Drosophila melanogaster: one gene and its partners. The protein of the gene in region 1 purifies or fractionates together with the protein of each later gene. This does not show direct contact. Each region holds a gene or a part of one and is shown in the gene's direction. Other genes may lie near its edges. The genes, in order: ScsbetaG, Mec2, Rdh1 and Gale.

Evidence for each region.
Region 2: the proteins of ScsbetaG (region 1) and Mec2 purify together in Drosophila melanogaster (affinity purification with mass spectrometry, with the first as the bait; one large-scale study listed by BioGRID). This does not show direct contact.
Region 3: the proteins of ScsbetaG (region 1) and Rdh1 purify together in Drosophila melanogaster (affinity purification with mass spectrometry, with the first as the bait; one large-scale study listed by BioGRID). This does not show direct contact.
Region 4: the proteins of ScsbetaG (region 1) and Gale purify together in Drosophila melanogaster (affinity purification with mass spectrometry, with the first as the bait; one large-scale study listed by BioGRID). This does not show direct contact.

The regions. Positions count from the first base shown.
Region 1 is NT_037436.4:5,560,820-5,566,050, reverse strand, and holds ScsbetaG (Succinyl-coenzyme A synthetase beta subunit, GDP-forming), read left to right. Parts: upstream 1-2,359; 5' UTR 2,360-2,507; coding exon 2,508-2,558; intron 2,559-2,655; coding exon 2,656-2,785; intron 2,786-2,866; coding exon 2,867-2,966; intron 2,967-3,179; coding exon 3,180-4,149; 3' UTR 4,150-4,350; downstream 4,351-5,231. Other genes in the region: bc10, read right to left, coding at 187-426; Sras (severas), read right to left, coding at 1,223-1,725, 1,785-2,190; sinu (sinuous), read left to right, coding at 4,556-5,231.
Region 2 is NC_004354.4:19,185,424-19,191,003, forward strand, and holds Mec2 (Mec2), read left to right. Parts: upstream 1-2,611; 5' UTR 2,612-2,691; coding exon 2,692-2,860; intron 2,861-3,610; coding exon 3,611-4,124; intron 4,125-4,216; coding exon 4,217-4,382; intron 4,383-4,461; coding exon 4,462-4,665; 3' UTR 4,666-4,770; downstream 4,771-5,580. Other genes in the region: CG33253 (uncharacterized protein), read left to right, coding at 267-783, 855-1,020, 1,111-1,350; HP1D3csd (heterochromatin protein 1D3 chromoshadow domain), read left to right, coding at 4,853-5,392.
Region 3 is NT_033778.4:7,663,365-7,668,306, forward strand, and holds Rdh1 (retinol dehydrogenase 1), read left to right. Parts: upstream 1-2,463; 5' UTR 2,464-2,572; coding exon 2,573-2,652; intron 2,653-2,781; coding exon 2,782-3,045; intron 3,046-3,109; coding exon 3,110-3,266; intron 3,267-3,322; coding exon 3,323-3,582; intron 3,583-3,639; coding exon 3,640-3,871; 3' UTR 3,872-3,979; downstream 3,980-4,942. Other genes in the region: CG2065 (uncharacterized protein), read left to right, coding at 676-932, 989-1,145, 1,211-1,470, 1,532-1,760; DCTN4-p62 (dynactin 4, p62 subunit), read right to left, coding at 4,037-4,942.
Region 4 is NT_037436.4:646,580-652,428, forward strand, and holds Gale (UDP-galactose 4'-epimerase), read left to right. Parts: upstream 1-1,975; 5' UTR 1,976-2,472; intron 2,473-2,599; 5' UTR 2,600-2,600; coding exon 2,601-2,840; intron 2,841-3,653; coding exon 3,654-3,944; intron 3,945-4,004; coding exon 4,005-4,526; 3' UTR 4,527-4,732; downstream 4,733-5,849. Other genes in the region: CG3402 (uncharacterized protein), read right to left, coding at 5,509-5,697. UniProt on the Drosophila melanogaster protein: Catalyzes two distinct but analogous reactions: the reversible epimerization of UDP-glucose to UDP-galactose and the reversible epimerization of UDP-N-acetylglucosamine to UDP-N-acetylgalactosamine.

The DNA.
Region 1 (5,231 bases):
TATCCCTAATCCCTTATATCCGCCTGCTCCTCTGACTTTCTCCGATCTTCGAGGATGTAAAGCTGTAACAACGCGAACGTAATTCCGTAAAAAGGTAGTTATTATTAGCACTTTATCTTCGTTGACTATGACTACGGGGGCTTTCTTTGTGTGGGAGTGAAAGATAAGCGGCGCACTGCTGACCCTCTAGCCATTCTCACATTGATGGCCCTCGCAGTTGCCCCAAAATATGCAGTTCCCGACGCCACTGTAGCATATCAGGGATACGGCTGTGAGGAATACGAGGCTGCAGATGGTGCAGGGCTTTCGCTCCAGGAAGAATCCGACCAGGTAGAGGACTATGAACATCACGTGCGTTTCCATCAGGGCCGGATTCGAGGGTTTCGGTATCAGTAGTACGGGCAGCAGGCATTGTAGGCAATACATTCTGTGTGCGGTTGGGTGGGTGGTTGTGTTGTTGTTGCTATTTCTGCTTAAGATTTGGGTTCTATTTGCGTGTGCGTTGACGTGGTCTTCCGCGCGGCCTGCAAGTGTCCCAGGATGACCCCGGGGGGTTGAGGTTAGTCTTAATTGTTCTATAATTACTATCATTCGTAGTCCTGGGCAAAGACCACAAACGTCACCAGAACGCGGATCTGTTTTCCCAGTTCTAGCACGGGTCGCCGCTCTGCGGGATTACCTCCGATTGGGCCTCCTGGCGCTGACCTCTCGATTTTCGGGTCGTTTAGATGCTCGCTTGTTGTGCGTCGTTTTAAATCATCACATATTTACCAAAATTTACTTGTCTGGGCCTATCGGGCCCTATCGATAAGCCTATGTGGGTCTGAGTGGCAGTGTGACCAGCTGCCCAATACCGATATGTTGGAACTAGTGATTGCGCGGAACCAATAATACCGCCTAAATTTGAATTCATATTTCTTTCTTAATAATAATAATAAATAATATTTATAAATGTTAAGAAATTGTTTAATAAACAAATGCAAACAAAAGTAGTTGTAATAAAAGTACTCTCGAACAACAAAACAGTACAACTGACTTACTATTAGGTATACATTTATCTGTACTTTCTTTTTTCTTTTTCATCGGAAGTCTTTTTTTTGTGCGCGGAATTGGCTCGAATGGGATATGCAATTTACATATAAACATAATATATGCACGAATATTTATGTACACATGAATGAACCGACGTATGGCAGCGGTTGATACATACAAATTAACTTAATTATGCATTCCAGTAAAGGGTGTTATCATAGATCGACGGATCGGTAGCCAGTGGTACCAGGAACATCCATCCAACAAATCCAGCTAAGTAGAGAATAATGGCCACTACTCGTCGCCAGAGATCCTGCTGCCACAGATCCTGCAGATCCGGCAGACCCATATGATTGCAAAACGCGTGCACCAAGATGGGAGCCATCACATGACCTGTACGGGCAAATAGAAAGGCCGAATAGAAGCCAAATAGCGTGGTGTAGATGAACTGGAACAGTCCAATCAATAGGGCAGTGCTCAACTCCACGCCTAAGCTCAGGCGTTCGGCTATGTGATGCAAGTGGGCTACTCCGAAGAAAAGCGGCGTTATGAAAACGGCGACCAGGGGCGAAAAGCTCTGCAGGATCAGGGGCATCATGCAGGCTCGGAACACGAACTCCTCGCTCAGCGGTGCTATCACATGGTTGCGCACCCAGATGATGCTGCCAAATGATCCCCTCCAGTAGTCCAGATCTGCAATTCAAATCAAGCAGTGAGAAGGGGCTGATAGGCAGAGGGGCTTTAACTATTACCGAAGTAGGAGCGCACGGACTCGTTCTGCATGTTGACAAAGATGGGTCCCAGGAAGAGCAGCACCGTCAGGCTGTATGGTATAACAACAGCCTGCCACAATCCCTCCAAGCGCAAACCGAGCAGCTTGGGAAATGGTACCCGGCTGAGCAGCTCCGGCGATGAGAAGAAGTAAACGAAGAACGGGGCTGCCAGCATCACCATGGACACACTGGCGAATCTTCTCTTGACCGTGGTTGGATGATCCCGGTTGTGTTTGGTGCTCCAGATGTAGAGGCTACCCACGTACAGAACAGCCAGAACGAAGCAACAGCTCACCGAAGTGGCCACCGGGATCTGGGGCAATGATTCGTGGACTACATTTTCTTGCATGGTGACTTCGGCTTCCGTCTCACTCAGGTTTTTCATTCAATTTGTGTTATTCGTCATTCTTCGCTGACTATTAGCCGAAGAAAAAAAGTACACAACGACAGCTGATTTTCAGCTGACTGCAACAGTAAGACCATTGCTTCGCGAGAACTAGTTCAAGATGGCAGTGGCATTTGGTATATTTTTATCACCATGGAAAGTAGTCGTGCTTCTTGGTCACATTGTGCAGTGATAAGCATCGTGGAACGGCGGCGATTTTCGGTTGTGTTTTTAAACTAAATTTACCGACAAAGTTACGAAAATAAATTAATACCAAGTTAGCCAAGGTATTCAGTTACCACCGCAGATCAGCCAAGATGTCGTTCCTACTGAAAGCAGTTACCACAGCCCGTCACATCGTTCATAAGGTTTCCTCGCACTCACATTCCTCTATAATATATCAACTCTTCGAAAAGAGAAGTTGAAGTGACCTTTGTCTTGGCTTTGTTTATCTTTCGATGATAGGTTCCCGTGCGCAACCTGAATCTGCTGGAGTTCCAGAGCAAGGATCTCCTCCAGAAGTATGGAGTGGCCATACAGCAATTCAAGGTCTTGAATAACTCCAAGGCAGATGCCGAGGTCGTCAAGACTTTTGGTAAGTGGAGGACGGAACCATGCCGGTGTTTATGTAATCCCTGGGCTAATTGGTGTTAAATGCTGTGCTTCTGTGTTTCAGAGTGCCCGGAATACGTGGTGAAGGCGCAGATTCTCGCCGGTGGGCGTGGCAAGGGAACTTTCGACAACGGATTCAAAGGCGGCGTCCATATCACCACCAAGTATTATAGATTAGGTCTATTCCGGCTATTCACATTCACATTTTATCTAAAAAATTAATATTATTTATGTTCTACAATATCATTTGTATATAAGATTAATCTTATCATTCTGCCCATATTGAAAATGATAAAAGTTTGTGAAAGCCAGAGTGTACCTTAAAAACACAAGTGATAAGACCAGCTTATACTAATAATTATTTAACATTTTGCCAGCAAGAGCGAGGTGCTTTCGCTTACCCAGCAGATGATTGGAAACCGACTGATAACGAAACAAACGCCCAAATCGGGAATTTTGGTCAACAAGGTCATGGTGGCACGCAGTATCAACATCACCCGCGAGACCTATCTCTGCATCTTGCTGGACCGCGAGCACAATGGACCCGTGCTGATTGCCTCACCTGCCGGTGGCATGGATATCGAGGCGGTGGCCGAGGAAACCCCTGAGAAAATTAAGACTGTTCCGCTAGACATTGGCAAGCCCATACCGGAGTCGACGCTCTTGGAGGTGGCCAAGTTCTTGGAGTTCAAGGGAGACTCTGTAAAGCGTTGTGCTGAGGAAATTCAAAAACTCTATACTCTCTTCAAAGCTGTGGATGCCGTACAGATCGAGATCAACCCGCTGGCGGAGACGGATAAGGGAGAAGTTATCTCCGTTGATGCTAAGCTCAACTTTGACGACAATGCCCAGTTCCGTCAGAAGGATATTTTCTCCATGGACGTCACCGAGGAGGAATCCGATCCCCGAGAAGTGGAGGCGGCCAAGTACAATCTGAACTACGTCGCCATGGATGGCAACATTGGCTGCTTGGTTAATGGTGCCGGCCTGGCCATGGCCACCATGGACATCATCAAGCTGAATGGAGGCGAGCCCGCCAACTTTTTGGACGTCGGCGGTGGCGTCAGGGAGGATCAGGTGGCCAAAGCCTTCGAGATCCTCACTGCTGACCCGAAAGTCAAGGGAATCCTGGTCAATGTCTTTGGCGGCATTGTCAATTGTGCCACCATTGCCAATGGCATTGTGGCTGCATCCAAAAAGCTGCAACTGAATGTTCCACTGGTTGTGCGACTGGAGGGCACCAATGTAAATCAGGCTCGCGAGATCCTGAAGAATTCGGGCCTGCCCATTCAGACAGCCAGTGACTTGGATGATGCCGCCCACAAGGCTGTGGCAGCCCTTAATTAGGGGAACGATTGAGGAGAGCATGTCTTCCAGAATGAAACGACGCTCATTAGCATTTACAACGGTTGGGCCTTTTAAGTATAAGTTTTTATCGACAATATAACCAAAATATGTTATATTCTATATAAAAAGCTTTTTATTTGATTTAAGAAGTACCTTAGCCATCTATCAAAAATTAATTAAATTTAAAATCATTTATTTCTTAATTTAAAAAATGTATAATCTAAATTGTTTAATTTACTGTTTTGAAATTTATTGGTACCGTAGCATTTGGTATTTATTTTGTGGCCCCATGGTATTCTGCGGTATTACCAGTGCGGCCACACTGCAGTCCACACCCAAACAGCAAACCAAACAAACATTTCCCCAGGAAACCAGCGAAATTCCAATAGAATTTCCCACTCAAAGGATGCAAAAACCATCCCACTTCGCACGCGAGGATTCCCAGGAGCACCTGCCCACCAGCCACACGCAAAACAGTCACACAGTGAACATGAAGAGACGCACACTATCCGGAAGTTGTGGCGTTGGCGTCTTCGTGTTCGCCTTTGCCTTCATCGTGATTGCGTTTGCAACGCCCAGTTGGTTGGTCAGTGATTACCGCATCACGGGCGCCAAGCTGGATCGCCTGGGATTGTGGGTGCACTGCTTCCGGTCGCTGCCGGACGTGAACGACGATAGCCAGCGGAGATTCTTCGTGGGCTGCCGTTGGGTGTATGACCCATTTACCACGGGTTACGATGAGATCCGTGGATTCCTGCTGCCCGCCTTCATGATAGCCACTCAGTTCTTCTACACTTTGGCCTTCATCGGGATGTTGGTATCTGCCATCGGAGTACTGGTCTTCATCCTGTGTGCTGGTCCGGATCAAAAGCACTTCATTACGCTCATTAAATCGTTGGGATATGTGCTTCTCGGTGCTGGAGTAAGTGCAGCCATTGCAGTGATTGTATTCGCTGGATTTGGCAACCGGAATGGCTGGATGCCGGAGCATGCGAACAATTGGTTTGGCTGGTCCTTTATCCTGGCGTGTGTGGGTACTGTGTTAACCCTGGTGGCGTCTACTTTGTTCCTCAGTGAAGCCC
Region 2 (5,580 bases), on another chromosome or scaffold:
TATTCAGAAAGTTATAATATACTCGTATGTTTTTAAGCTAAAGTTAAATGCAAAAATGGTGTCCATTTTCATAACCAATGATATTAATTGCATATCTATTGTTTAAGCTTTAATAATAAATATTAAATTAAGTCCAAAATATTACAAAATGTTGTGAGAATTGATTGTCCTAAGCAAAAGTTTAAAAACAATCATACCAGCTAATCATCATCATAACCAATCATACCACTTTACATACTGCATACGATGATCTTCAAATCTTGCAGCTGAAAACGATGACATGGGCTGCGTGGAGATCCTGGCCACGGTGGTGTCCGTGCTGATCATGGTGCTAACCTTTCCCATCTCGGTGTTCATCTGCTTCAAGGTGGTCTCCGAGTACGAGCGAGCGGTGATCTTCCGGATGGGGCGACTGCGCAGCGGCGGAGCCCGTGGTCCCGGGGTCTTCTTTGTGCTGCCCTGCGTGGACGACTACTATCCGGTGGATCTGCGCACCGTCTCCTTTGACGTGCCGCCGCAGGAGGTGCTCTCCAAGGACTCGGTTACTGTGACGGTAGATGCGGTTGTCTACTACCGCATCAGCGATCCCCTCAAGGCGGTCATCCAGGTGTACAATTACAGCCATTCGACGAGTCTCCTGGCGGCCACCACGCTGCGCAATGTGCTCGGCACCAGGAATCTGTCCGAGCTGCTGACCGAACGCGAGACCATCTCGCACACCATGCAGATGTCCCTGGACGAGGCCACCGATCCCTGGGGCGTTAAGGTGGAGCGCGTGGAGATGTGAGTAGCCAACTGCCGAAAGTCGTGATGTGATCATGACATGATCCACTCTATCCATGATCCGCTTGCAGCAAGGACGTATCCTTGCCAACTGCCCTCCAGCGGGCGATGGCCGCCGAGGCGGAGGCAGCGAGGGAGGCGCGGGCCAAGGTCATTGCCGCCGAGGGCGAGATGAAGTCGTCGAGGGCTCTGCGCGAGGCTTCCGAGATCATCTCGGCCAGTCCATCCGCCCTGCAGGTGAGTCATCTTCTTCCATCTGAATCCAACCATCGGACATTTGGAACTGGCCCAAATGGTTTCATTCGTTCCATCTTCTTCTCTACTTAGTTGCGATACTTGCAAACACTGAGCAGCATTTCAACCGAGAAGAATTCGACCATCATCTTCCCGCTGCCCATGGAGCTGCTCACGCCCTTCCTGAATACCCAAGCACACTCGCAGCAGCTGCAACTGCAACACCAGCAGCAGCTGCAACAGCAACAGCAGCAGCATCAGCACCAACAACAACAACATCCTGCGGCTCCTGGCACGCCACTCCATCGACACCCGCACCAACACCACCAGTGACGCTCGATGTCGGTGCTGCAACCATATCTGGAGGCACTGCATCGCTGCGAGCTGCAGCGTCAGCAGAAGCAACAGCGAAGCGGAGCGGCTGCAGCGGGAGCGGCGGATGACGATGACGACATCGTGGGTTTCTTGCTCTAGTGGAACGGCGGCAGCAGCGACAGAAAGCGGAACTGTCCGGAAAATCCGGAAAATGAGTCACCAATGAATTCGAATGAAAGTGCCATGGAATTCCCTAGATTCTGGAGAGATTCAAACATGGTTCGGACTTAAAAATAAATTTTTTTTTTTTAGAATTTATTCTAATATGTCGAATTTAGTATGCAATAGTAACTGAGGCTTTTCCAAGGCTTTTCCTTCTTCATTCACAGTCGTTTTAAGTAGAGACGTTATATTTAAAATAACCAATATTATTTGTTTGTATCTTAAGAATTAATAACAATAGCTAACTACAAACCAGGGTAAAAGCTAACCATTTAAATAAACCAAATGATTCAGAAAACACATTTTTTTTTTCAGTTCTTCCCCCTTTTTCGAAACAACAAAATTTACATTTATATATGATATATATATATGTATGTACATATTTGCTCTTCGCTTATCTAAATAACTCAGATTTGCATGCCACTTCAGCGAGTGTGGCAGATAAGCTCTTCAGTGCTAATGTGACCGCCAGATCAGAATTGAGTCACCATCGGGTGGCTCCAGCCAATGACCCGTGACCCCAAAGCAGAACTGCGTCTCAATGCTCCAGCTGAGATAACCGATTGATTAAAGTGCTAAACGCACTTGGGCCAGATAGAGCTTACTCGGCTTTCATTGATCGTCGGTCGGAATAATCTGAAAGTGTACGCCTCCAGTTGGCAATTCTTTCGGCGCAGTGCAGTGAATCATCCGTGGTGACCCATGGCTCTCGACTTACAGAGCGGCTCTTGGTGTTTCCCCGGTCGTAGATACACTACACTGAACGAAAATTTACGAGCCGATGCATTTACATTCCATTCCATTACATTCTCTTATATGGCATGTGCTCAATTGCTGTGGAGGATGTACGGACTAGAGATCGCCTCTTTCAGTGGCGGCACACTTGGTTCGTGGTGTTTCAGTGCAGTGCTTCTTTTCTCTCACTGTTGAATCGCATTTAAGCCGCTCGGCAGCTCAGCGTAGCGATAATGCCAATGCGATACTTCGTATCTGAGAGAACCAGTGCGCTCTTATCACGTGAGAACGCTTTTGGGCATTCAGTTTGGCTTTTGCGGCGCTGACCGCTGGCGACAGTTTCGAATCCATAGCCGATCGGAGAGCAACGAACGTAGGCCAGAACGGAGCAGAGAAACAGCAATGGAGCCGCACCAGGATTCGCCCGTGTACGCCAACTACGAAGATATGCGCAACTCTGGGCCGGCCAGCTCCACGGCGTACATGGTCAACATGGGCGCCGCCGGCATGGCACCCGAGCCGGCACTTCGAGTGCCCGGCACCACGCAGCAGTATCGTGGATTCAAAACTTGTAAGCGGGCGGAAACGGTGTATACTATAGATGCAGCAAGATGATGACCCATCCCGGCCAATATTAGGAGAATTATTATTGTTAAAAAAAAACAAGTCTTTGCTTACTGTCAAGCGCTAATCACTTTAGATCGATTGAGATACGATTTCTTGGAATCGCTGGTTCAGATAAGATTGCAACAGCATTTTGATCGCGTGAAAAGTTTGTTTTTGGCTCAAAGCATTCTACAATATTTCAGACATGCAAAACCGCTTGATTCGGTTAATAGTATTCACTAGATAGGAGTTCTAAAAATACAAACTATCTCTCGCTTTATCAAAGTAGTACTAGTAGCAATTTGATTTCCATCGTAATCCCACATAATCGTCAATTGCTACAACATTCTAATTGTATTGGCGCATATATATTACACCTGTCTATATTTTTAATCGTAGGAATTTTTATTGGACTCCAAGATAAGCGGGCTGATTGGTGTTTATCCGTGTTTTCTTTTTTTTGATTGTGATGGCTATTGCTTTTCACAGCTTTCTCTTTTTCAAGTTGTTACATAGTCCATCATAGTCCTGTTTTACTTAATAATAAGTTGGTCTCTTCGGAATCCGGACAAAGAAGGTACTTCATCTTGGCCATCGAATTGAAGTGGACTTATCTACGTTTCTCTTGCGGCACAATTATTGTACACATATGCCTGAAATATGGCCATTTTGTAGATGAATATTTCATATTCATATTCCTAACATCCCATTGCAGCGGAGAACGAGCCCAAGGGCTGCATGGAATGGGTGGTCACCCTGTTCTCCGTGCTGATCTTCATCATCACATCGCCCATCGCCATCTTCATATGCTTCAAGGTGGTGGCGGAGTACGAGCGGGCGATCATCTTCCGGCTGGGCAGACTGAGCGGCGGAGCTCGTGGTCCCGGCATGTTCTTCATCCTGCCGTGCATCGATGAGTACCGCAAGGTGGACCTGCGCACGGTTACCTTCAATGTGCCGCAGCAGGAGATGCTGACGAAGGATTCCGTGACGGTCACTGTGGACGCCGTTGTCTACTATCGCATCAGTGATCCCCTTTATGCGGTCATCCAGGTCGAGGACTACAGCATGTCCACTCGCCTCCTGGCGGCCACCACGCTCCGAAATATCGTCGGCACTCGCAACCTGTCCGAACTGCTAACCGAGCGCGAAACCCTGGCCCACAATATGCAGGCCACGTTGGACGAGGCCACCGAGCCGTGGGGCGTCATGGTGGAGCGCGTTGAGATGTAAGTAGCCATTTAGTAGGCATTTGACATCCATCAGATCAGATCAGTATTTCTTAACATCTGTACGTTGTATGCACTTCACCCGCTGACAGCAAGGATGTCTCCCTGCCCGTTTCCATGCAGCGTGCCATGGCCGCCGAAGCGGAGGCAGCTCGTGATGCTCGTGCCAAGGTGATCGCCGCCGAGGGTGAGAAGAAGTCCGCCACAGCGCTCAAGGAGGCATCCGATGTCATTTCCGCCAGTCCATCGGCCTTGCAGGTGGGTGTTGTCCTAGTAAAAGCTGAAATCAATCGTTGAGCACGGATTACCAGCCATTCGAATTTTTCTGTCATCACAGCTGCGCTACTTGCAAACCCTGAGCAGCATCTCCGCCGAGAAGAACTCCACCATTATCTTTCCTCTGCCCATGGAGCTGCTTACTCCGTATCTGGCCAAATATGCCCACTTGATGGGCCCGCCACCGGAACTTAAGCAATCGCCAGAAAAGTCAGATAACATAGTTTTAGACGCACTGGACGCTTGGCCGAAAACCAACCTATGATTTGAATCTAGGGCGTTGCCAGAGTTTGAAAATATTAATGTCTTATTCATTTTTTTTTTTTTTTTAATAAATGCAATTCGCACTAGCTGGCAGCTTCAGCAATCGGAAACTTGCCGCCATTTTTCATTTAACGATTGCACGTGAATTCATTTGGTTTACTTTTGCAAGAGAACTTTATTGCTAAACGATGGCGGACAAAGAAAACAGCCCCAACAACAAGAACACAGGTGGTTTCCCCGCGGAGGAGGAAAAGCAGAAGGAGAACGATCAGCAGAAGGAGAACGATCAGCAGAAGGAGAACGATCAGCAGGAGGAAGTGCAGGAAGAGCCGACAAAGGATGAATCCAAGGAGGCCGGTTCGACGCCGCCTCCAAAGCACATGGGAGTTCACAATTCGGCTCGGGCAGAGCTGGCTCGGCTGCTCGTCGAGTTGTTGGTACAACAGGCAGAACTGGATGCAACCAACGGTGGCAGCGTGTCAGGGAATCTCGATGGCGGCAATTCCAATGAGTCCCAACCGTTGAACGTGCCGCCTACGGATGCGCTCCTGGTCCGCGGCAAAGCAATTGAGAATGTTATGTACAGCTATATGCTTGGTGACACGGTCTACTTCATTGTCACCTGGAAGGGATCCAAGTGGGGGGAAGCCGTGCCTGTTCAGGAGATCAAACATGTGCACCCCAAGCTACTCATTGACTACATTAAGAGCCTGAAGCTACAGGACTGAAAAAACCTCCGAAGCCCGAGGATTTATAATATAACTGGAGCAGATCTCCAAATTGACTTTATCCATTATCATTATCCATCCATGAAGAAAATGTTAAAAGATCTTGAATCAACTCACAGTATTTAAGTTAAATTACTTTATTTTTTTTTTCGTTTTTGTCTTGTAACAATAAGTTTGCTTCAAAATAA
Region 3 (4,942 bases), on another chromosome or scaffold:
TAATTGCATTTTTTAAATAAACATTTAGTTAACGTTGCCTTGGCGTCACTAGAATCTGAACTATTTAGCAATATATGATTTCGGTTTAAGTCATGAGCTGTCATAGAAGCAGGTGAAAAACTAATCGAAAATAATAGAATATAAATAAGAATAATAATAATAGAATAATATGGTATTATAAGATTAGGTATTAATTAAATTAGACTTGCAGATAGTTATTTAGCTTATCATGCATTTGCTCGACTTGCAATGAGGTTTTTATAAACTAGAAGCAAAAAGCTCTCAGCAAACCCCAAACATATTTCGTTCTCTCGCAGTTTCGAATCAAACTCATCGTGAGTAAGCGTTTTGTGGCTTTCGTGTATTTTGGAGCAGATAGCGTACATTTCGTATAAAAGGCAGTTCCAAACGGACGGGCAAACATTCATTGACAGAACCAGCAAGTGAAACGAACACAAACGGCGGCAAGATCTATACTGTATCCAAACAAAATGGGCTGCCTTACTAATTGCTTGTGCTGCCCCCTCATTTTTGGCCGTCCATTATCGGACTGGCTGCCTACTTGCTAAGGTATTTGCATGGAATAGTTCTACTGCTGAGTAATGATTAATACGCTCGTGAATTGCGGCCTGTGTTGAAATAGAGTGATAAGAATTAATGAATTTCAGAAAATACATGCAGGGCGGTCAGTTCACCAAGCAGACCGATGAGACCGGCAAGGTGTTCATTGTCACCGGTGCCAACACGGGCATTGGCAAGGAGACGGTCCTGGAGATTGCCAAGCGAGGAGGCACTGTGTACATGGCATGCCGGGATATGAACCGGTGCGAGAAGGCGCGCCAGGATATTATCAGGGAGACAAATAACCAGAACATATTCTCTCGAGAACTGGACTTGAGTTCGCTGGAATCCATTCGCAAATTCGCTGCTGGGTAAACGCAAACATGATAGATCGACGAATGCGTTACTGATTTCCCTCGTTTATTAGATTCAAGAAAGAGCAGGATAAGCTTCATGTCCTGATAAACAATGCAGGAGTTATGCACTGTCCCAGAACACTGACCAAGGATGGCTTCGAAATGCAGTTGGGAGTCAACCATATGGGACACTTCCTGCTCACCCACTTGCTGCTGGACGTATTGAAGGTATTTTGGGTACTCAGGACTTTCTTAGCACCTTGTTAACCAAACTCCCTGCTTAATCTCACTAGAAAACTGCACCCAGTCGCATCGTGAACGTTTCCAGCCTGGTGCACACCCAAGGTTTCATTAAAACTGCCGACCTAAACAGTGAAAAGTCGTACAGCAGAATCGGTGCCTATAGTCAGAGCAAGCTGGCCAACGTCCTGTTCACCCGGGAATTGGCCAAGCGCCTGGAGGGAACGGGGGTCACAACCAACTCCCTACATCCCGGTGCCGTGGACACGGAGCTGTCGAGGAATTGGAAGTTCCTGAAACACCCCTTTGCACAGTAAGATAGAAGACATAAGTGGGCACTACTTGAGTTTGATATTAACACTCGTATCGCTTAGGCTACTGCTCAAGCCCCTCCTGTGGGTACTCTTCAAAACCCCTCGCAATGGAGCGCAGACCACTCTCTACGCAGCCCTGGATCCTGCACTAAAGGATGTTTCCGGGCTCTACTTTAGCGACTGCCAGCCAAAGGAAGTGTCCGCAGCTGCCCAGGACGACAAGACTGGAAAGTTCCTCTGGGCGGAGAGCGAGAAGTGGACCGGCGTGAATTCAACCAAAGTTGATTAAGCAACCATTAGTTTATCCCTCGCCATTTCATAATTTATTATTTTAATAGCTTATCATAATGAAGACTAACGCAAAATGTAATAATTTATGTTTGAATTGTAGAATTCTTACGGATTCTACAAGCTGAAAATAAAGAAATGCTCCCAAAAAAGCTTTACCTAATCTAAAATTTGTATTTTGAGATCAACATTGTTGCATTTCTGTGTTCAGTACTAAAGAAAAATGGTCAAATTCTTTTGTTTTTTTTGTAAAAGTGATGGAATCAATTTGGATGATTCATGCTTTATTTTTGTACCCGTTATTCCTGGAGTAGGAGGGTATACTAAATTAGTTGGAAAGTATGTATGTAACATAACGAATCAGTTAGTTCCCTATATCTCGACGTTCAAACGGACGGATATGGCTGGATGGATCGTTTTGACTAGTGTTGCTGATCAAGTCTAAATATAAACTTTATTCTATATGTTACATACTGTTCAGCGAACCTATTATACCCTTTTACTCCACGCGTAATATACCCATTGAGTAAATATAAACATCAATGGAATTGCTTTTATTTGTTTGAATGCTTTCCACTATCATAACATATTATTGAGAATTCGTTTTCTCTTGACCTTCGTTAAGAATCTCTCTCCCGACGTTCTCCATTTCGTCAGGTTCTCACTCCGAATTAGCGATAATATATGTTTGTGTGGGGTAGCTGTGCTCAGTAATATATTAACAGCTGTGCTGTTCGTACCAGAACGCACTCAACGATTGAAATAAGATCTGACAACACCCTAAATACAAGGAATTGTACAAAGATATTCAAAATGTGCATTTTCATCGATTGCTTATTGAGCCCCTTGATTATGTGGCCAGCTACTATCGGCGTGGGCATCTACTTCTTGAAGTGAGTTGCGGTAATTATTTCGTGTAATTATGAAATATACCAGTGTGACTACGCATCCATGACTCGCTACTATGATTCCCCCGGGTAATAGATAACAGCTTTTCAGGTAATTCCTATTGATAATTCCAGGGAGTACATGCAAGGTGGAAAGTTTACGAAGGACACCGATGAGACCGGAAAGGTATTCATTGTGACCGGTGCCAACACGGGCATTGGCAAGGAGACGGCTCTGGAGATAGCCAGACGTGGGGGAACTGTGTACTTGGCTTGCAGGGATATGAACCGATGTGAAAAGGCCCGCAAGGATATCATCAAGGAGACAAATAACCAGAATATATTCTCTCGAGAGCTGGACCTAAGTTCCCTAGACTCCATTCGCAAATTTGTTGATGGGTAAGCTTACCTCCAGAGAATTTTCTTGTCTCTGTAAGATTTAAAAACCTATCCTATCAATCAGCTTCAAGAAGGAGCAACCCAAGCTTCACGTCCTGATCAACAATGCCGGCGTGATGCGTTGTCCCAAGACCCTAACCAAGGATGGCTACGAACTGCAGCTGGGAGTAAATCATATTGGTCACTTTTTGTTGACTAACTTGCTGCTCGACGTACTGAAGGCAAGTGTGCTATATAATAGTCAAGTGCGTCAGATAATGGTCTTACAAAATTTCAGAACTCGGCTCCCAGTCGCATTGTCGTTGTGTCCAGTCTGGCACATGCGCGTGGCTCCATTAACGTAGCCGACCTCAACAGCGAGAAGTCGTATGATGAGGGCCTAGCCTACAGCCAGAGCAAGTTGGCCAACGTCCTGTTCACCCGGGAATTGGCCAAGCGTTTGGAGGGCAGCGGAGTCACAGTAAATGCCCTTCACCCTGGTGTGGTGGACACTGAGCTGGCGCGGAACTGGGCCTTCTTCCAGACAAACCTTGTGAAGTAAGTGATGAATAAGTGAATTAGGACCTTCCCAGTAATACCTGTTAACCTTCCTAGGTTCTTTTTAAAGCCAATGATTTGGCCGCTTTTAAAGACACCGAAGAGTGGAGCTCAGACCTCGATTTACGCTGCTTTGGATCCGGAGCTTAAGAACATCTCTGGCCTGTACTTCAGTGACTGCAAACCAAAGCCTGTGGCTTCTGGTGCCTTGGACGATAAGGTTGCCAAGTTCCTGTGGGCCGAGAGCGAGAAGTGGACCGGATTAGATAAGCTGGAAGCTAATAACTAAAGAAGAACGAATAGTGTTAGAACAAGCCTTTTATTATACTTGAATACTAGCTGCTGTTTCACGAACGGATTAATAAATAAATACATATTTCTCTAGCTTTCATAAAGCATATTTCATATTTCGCATAAGTCGATTAGTACGCCTGTTGGCTAATAAGTTTCCAGTTTAGTTGGCTTTCTGCTCAGTTGCTCCCGCCGTGATAAACACCCTGGAGTGGAGCACATGGGTTGTGGGTTCCCTCTTCTCTTGCGCATTGTTTACGGTGTTGACGTATGTGTACTGCATATAGAAGCCCAGAACGACGTCTGCTAATCCGGACAGCTCCTCTGCTGGGGTAAACTGTAGCCGCAAAAGCACCTTGTTGCCCTTCCGCCAGACAATAAACTTGGGCTCCTCGGTGGACAGTTGCACGTCCTCGTCGAACTCTTTCGAGTCATCGCGCTGGTTCAGAACGAACTCGCTCTCCAACGGAACTATTTCGGCATTGGATATATCAATCACATCTCGTTTTACCTCCCGTGTTGAGTTTTGACGCGACAGTGTGATGCCCACTGCTTTTAGAAGTGGGGACGAAGAAATGGGTTCCTCTTTCGCAACACGAGTGGCCTCTGTTGACAGCTGTGGATCCTCAGGAGGAGATGCAGTCAACAGTCGAATTGTCATATCGTATATAGTCGGATTCGTGAGCTTCAGCAAAATGGCGTTGCTTTTTCCTGCCACCAGTGGCTGCTCGCAGCGCACCATCACCACTTCAGGAACATGGTAGCTGGCGAAGTGCTGAATGCGGTACTTTATCGATGTGGGATGGTACTCCGGTTTGATTAGATTGTGCTCGCACTGGCGGCAACGAAGCGACCGCTTAATCCACAGGGACCTGCGCTGAGGATAAAGACTCCCAACGGCCGTGGGCTGGTCCGCCGGCTGGCTATGTCGCTGGGTGATGGTTGTCACATTCCGCAAGTTCAAGGGTTCCGTGAAAATGTTCTCCGGCAGGCCCTCCACCTCCGCCGTGGCCTCTGCCGGCGTTATCACGGCTTTAGCCTTGGGAGCCTTGTCGTTCCAGCCGATTTG
Region 4 (5,849 bases), 4.9 Mb from region 1:
TTTAGACGGGCCATGCGGGTTCTGCCAGAAAACGTCACGAAATATGTATAAATTGCTTAATTTGTGATAAGCATTTATGGTGGCCCGGGCGATCCCAGTTTCCAAGTCGGTCTCCGTTGGGCCATGTGAAAAGTGCACCACTTTCACTATTTCCCTACTTCATTTTCCCATTGCCGATCCGAGATCAAATTAAAGTGCCAGAGTCGGTGCTTATCTGGGGTGGTCTCTTTTGAGGGAACGCAGAACATACATAGATGATTATCGGGCACAAACAATAATGCGGAAAATTGGTTTTATTAAGATGGATAACCGAAATTTACAATAAGTGTAAGCAAGGAAATTCTATTCGTTTGGCATTCTATTCGTGGAGTGGAAAGTGTTTGAAATAAAAGATCACATACTAATAAACATATAAGTACAGTAAGTAAACAAGAAGACGGACATAGCTAACGGGCCGGGCCAGACCCCCCGAAAACCTTAGCCCCAGCAATAACAGCAATCCAACTCTCGGACCGAACTGATAATTCCCCCATATGTGCAGGCGGGATTGGATTGGGAGCTCGCTTCTATACATATATATATATATATATTTATGTATGTAGACTAGACCGCAGCACATTATGTACAAATACGTAGCTTTAGGATCGACCACTTCCACTTGGAGACTTGTCCGTTCTGTCTTTCTCTTTCCAATTCTGTTTCAGTTCAGTTTCTGTGGCTGCGACTCTGACTGTGCAAATTATTGTCGCTCACATAAAAAAATATTGCAGGCCAGCGCCATTCAGAGGCGAGCAATGCCGGAAGTTCAACTAACTCATTTCCGGTTGTCAGTATGTACATATGTGTGCCGCCCGAGAATCTCAAAATATATGTAGATGTACGTATGTATGTAGTACATGCGGTGTGCGGTAAGCATGGTCTTGCGGTATATGTATGTACTGCGTCTTCCTTATCGAGTGAGCTTTCCCGCATTCGAGAATCGATTCGTTTCCAGATGATTATGTAGATTATTATGCCGAAGCAGTATTTTACGGTTTGTTCTAATTTTGGGACTCTTATGCCGCAATTTTTTTTAGCGATAAATTGAAATGGAATTCGGAAACCATAATCAGAAAAACGATTTATTGACTGAGATAGAACTATTCAAACAAATAACGATTATCGACACTCCAAAAACCATAAGATAAAGCCGGTCAAATGCCAATCTAGGTTAAAGCTCCGAAGCTTTCGACCCATTCATGCATTCCATTCATTCAGAACCGAAAGCAGGCGCATTTCATTGAGAGACTCGTCGCTGCGCAAATACATTCTCAATTAAGTTGTAAACATTGTGAGATCTTTTTCATTGCGTATTGAGCACATGCACTTCCGCTTATCATTAAAGATTTGAACCGAATTTGGGTCACCAAAAAGCTGTCCGAACTGCGGTTCTAGTTATTTATGACGATGTAGTTGTACGCATTGTACTGAAGTTTGTTGTTATCAAACGTTTGCTTTTCGAGTTTAAAATTAATTTTGAATCTGCTCCGTTTATCAGTCAAGTAAAATGTCAACTTATCTACATGTAAATTTTACAGAAGCACATGGCAGTGATGCCAGATCATATAAGATTATTATCTTGGGGATAGAATGCGTTACAAAATTACATTGCATTATGAATTTGGCGTTATTCTCTTATCATATGTTTAATTAATTACGATTTGTGATTTTATACGCTTTATAATGAAAACTATTTTTTTACCACCCCTATTCGCGTCTCCAGAATGTTTTCACATTTAAACACCGATATGGGCGCACTTCTTGTTTTAAGTTGTTCATATCGATAGACAGCCAAGAAATTTATCGAGACGAATCCCACTGTGCCAGGTAGCTGAAAAATCGGCGAATATGGCAGCGTCGAACGAGCCATGTCGCGTGGCAACGCTACCACTTTGTTTACTTTTATTCGGAGAGCGAAGTGAAGAGCACCTGGAAATTGCATTAATGGGCATGGAATCGGGAGCCAAAGGTCAGCGGCGATAAGGATGCACTTCGAGGTGACCCCGGCCGTCCGTCGACCAAGTCAGCCTGCTGCTAGCACTTGAATTAAAGTGACAGGAGAGCTCCGAGCCCACCAAACCACCGAAACTGATAAGAAGTGCGCGTTCGGAGAACGGAGAACAAGTTAAATAGGCTCCGTGGAGAGCCACCAGTTCAGTTGGCCAGCGACCGCAGATCAAAACAGACGTACGACAACACAGATGAATGAGGAAGAGTGCAAGAAACGGGTTAGCACACGATAGCACTCAACGGTCAGCGATCTTTGGCATCTTCATCTACACCATCATCTGCAATCTCGTCGGAGATCAGAGGCGTTGTTTTTAGGCATCGGAATCCGAGGCGGAATCGTTTCAAGGGCACGTCTCTTGCGTCTAGCTAAACTCAATCTGATTCACTGAGCGGGGATTCTCTACCATAATCACCTGTAAACAGGTGAGTTACCCGTTTTTCGCCAAGCAGACGGCTATTTCGCACGCCTGCCGAACGATTTTGGTGACGTCAATAAGAACTGGGCACTCGTGTGGCCTAATTTCGTGTGTTTTCCCCTTTCGCCACTTAGGATGGCCCCACCCACGGTCCTGGTCACCGGAGGAGCCGGCTACATTGGCTCCCACACGGTTCTGGAGATGCTCAATGCGGGCTACAACGTCATCTGCGTGGACAACCTGTGCAACGCCTACAGCAGCGGGGCCAAACTGCCGGAGGCCCTCAGCCGGGTGCAGGAAATCACCGGCAAGAAGGTCAACTTCTATAGAGTGGACATCACGGACAGGGAGCAGGTGCGCTCCGTCTTCCAGGAGGTGAGCACACGTAGCATTACATAGCTGGCACGTCAGCAGTTCGGAGGTTCTGGGGCAAATGTGCCAACTGGATACCATTCAATCAAGCTTATCTGGCATGCGCGCTATCAGCTTTTTTCTCGTTCGCGCTTGTTTTGTTGTTTGCTCAAGTGGCGGGGCACTTCCGACGAACCGCCGTGCTGATCGACCCTGAATGAAAGACCCACTTGGCGAGGTCGCATTCGAGTTGGTGCGCTGGCATCCACATCCACAACAGCTCCCGGGCACGTACACTACAATCTGGGTGGTCGGGAGCCCAGATTGCAGTGTTTACATCCATTGATAACCAAGAGAATTCGCTAATTCGAGCAGGTTATCACGCATTCTTGAGATGTTCGATCAAAGGGGTTTTTTTTGTTAACCACCGTCGTTTATAAAAAACAAAGCGTTTATTTACATGTAATGAACATTATAAAAATGCACGTTGTTGCCCAAATAGCCATGAAATATCTTAAGCTGATACTTTTTCATATTTTTATTCAACCATAAATGCACACAGCTTTGTGCTTACGCGCACTGATTACTGAATAGATTGAGCAGTATTTGTTGTGGTGGAATTTTTTACCTAATCAGCACTATCAACAGCTATTTAAAGAACACATAATTGTTTGTCAATAAATCACCTTGAAATCAATGTGATACTTTCATTTAATTGCTATTAAATTCTGCACTTTACGTTTATAAGAGGCAATATCCTTGTGCTTACTGAAGAGCTGGTTATTACAGATTTGGATTTCCCAAACTAATAGGTACATATATTTACATCCCTTTCAGCACAAAATCGACATGGTGGCCCACTTTGCCGCCCTGAAGGCCGTGGGTGAGTCCTGCCGCATACCTTTGCAGTACTACCACAACAACATGACCGGCACCAATGTCCTGCTGGAGGCGATGGCCGACAACAATGTCTTCAAGTTCGTGTACAGCTCCAGCGCCACCGTATACGGTGAGCCAAAGTTCCTGCCCGTGACCGAGGAGCATCCCACGGGCAACTGTACATCGCCCTACGGCAAGACTAAATATTTCACCGAGGAGATTCTCAAGGATCTGTGCAAGTCTGACAAGGTAGGAGGATGTCATTTCTTGATGTCCATAAGTTCTGTACTAAAGAATTCGCTCTTTCAGCGTTGGGCAGTGGTTTCGCTGCGGTACTTCAACCCGGTGGGTGCCCACATCAGTGGTCGGATTGGCGAGGATCCGAACGGCGAGCCCAACAACCTGATGCCCTACATCGCACAGGTGGCCGTGGGTCGACGTCCCAGCCTGAGTGTCTACGGCAGCGACTTTCCCACGCACGACGGCACCGGCGTGCGCGATTACATCCACATCGTGGACCTGGCCGAGGGACACGTAAAGGCGTTGGACAAGCTGCGCAACATCGCGGAGACGGGCTTTTTCGCCTACAATTTGGGCACCGGCGTGGGCTACTCGGTGCTGGACATGGTGAAGGCGTTTGAGAAGGCCTCCGGCAAGAAGGTCAACTACACTCTGGTGGACCGACGGTCCGGAGATGTGGCCACTTGCTATGCGGACGCCACGTTGGCGGATAAGAAGCTGGGCTGGAAGGCCGAGCGTGGCATCGACAAGATGTGCGAGGACACGTGGCGCTGGCAGAGCCAGAACCCAAACGGGTATGCCAACAAGTAGAGCTGTATATCGCCACGTTCCTGCCGCTCCGCAAGTTCCTGAGTTACTACGCCTGATAATGGCTCAGGTAGCAATTTCTATTTGCCTCTAGTTGTGTATATTTCTTTCCAAATTTCGTGTAGTATTCGCTCACTTCGATGTGTGCAAGTGTGCGTATGTAATCCAAAGTACTTTGTAATTAAAAAGGCTTTTCGCTGTTGTCATGTAATTTTGTGACCGTCATTTACGCGTTTGGTGACCGCTGGCATCATTGACGCGTGCCAATTGGCGCAATCACGTAATTAAGGTCACCGACAAGGTGGCACTGGGAGATTACACTTGGCATTAGGTAAAATAAACACACAACTGCATCAACCATTTGTCAGATCTTAATCAAAAATGGCATAATCACATTAAGCTGACCAAAGTTACAAGAAGACGTCTAACTCGCACATTTATTTAGCAAACATTTATTCAAATGCAATATAACATTAAAAACTCAATTTTAAACTTAAGTGATGCGCCTTCTTCGCACATATCTGCACAGTTAAAGTCATTTATCACAAGTATGTACTATGAATGTATGTTTCTTTCAACAACTCTGCGTTCGGCTGCTGCTTCTGTTTGGTTTTGGAATGGTCTGCACGTATAAAAGTACAAAATTGTTTATATTCGAGCCTGTTGTTTCTGGGAGTGTTTGTTTGTATCGGTATTTGGCAATCTGTTTTACACTTAGGAGCTTGGCGATTCGTTCAACAAGTGATGGAGAGGCAAAGAAATCGAATTCAACAAGAAGCATTACTAGGTGCTACATTTACGTCTGGCTACATGTGTGTGCGATATGCATACGTAATGAATTAATATGTATAATATGGTAGTTCTAAGTATTCGCATAGGTTGCAGGAGGCAAAGAGATCCGTAGCCCAGAGGGGCGGTGGAGGGGATAGTTTAAATGCCGCTTAAATACTGCTGTAGTCTGTGGAGACCCTGCTCCGAGCACCACTTATGTGGAGGTCACGCCCTTGCGGGCCACCAGCATGTTGAGTATCGGGTTTTTCCGGATGTAGCTCACGGCCTTTTTGTGGGTGACCATGGTGAAGTCGTAGCCGTTGCACTGCAGGATCTTGTCGTGGATCCGCAGACCTGCTCGGGCGGCGGGACTGCCCTCGTGCACCTCGGTCACATAGATGCCCTATTTTCAAAGGGGAAAACGTAACATTGTAACATTGAAACTGCTCTTAAGATACCGAACTAAAACTAAATTCCCCGACTTTCAAGGAGAGCTATAATTATTAGCTTTAAGATTGAAGCTCTCTTTTATGCCCGGAATTAGGTTCTAGTGTT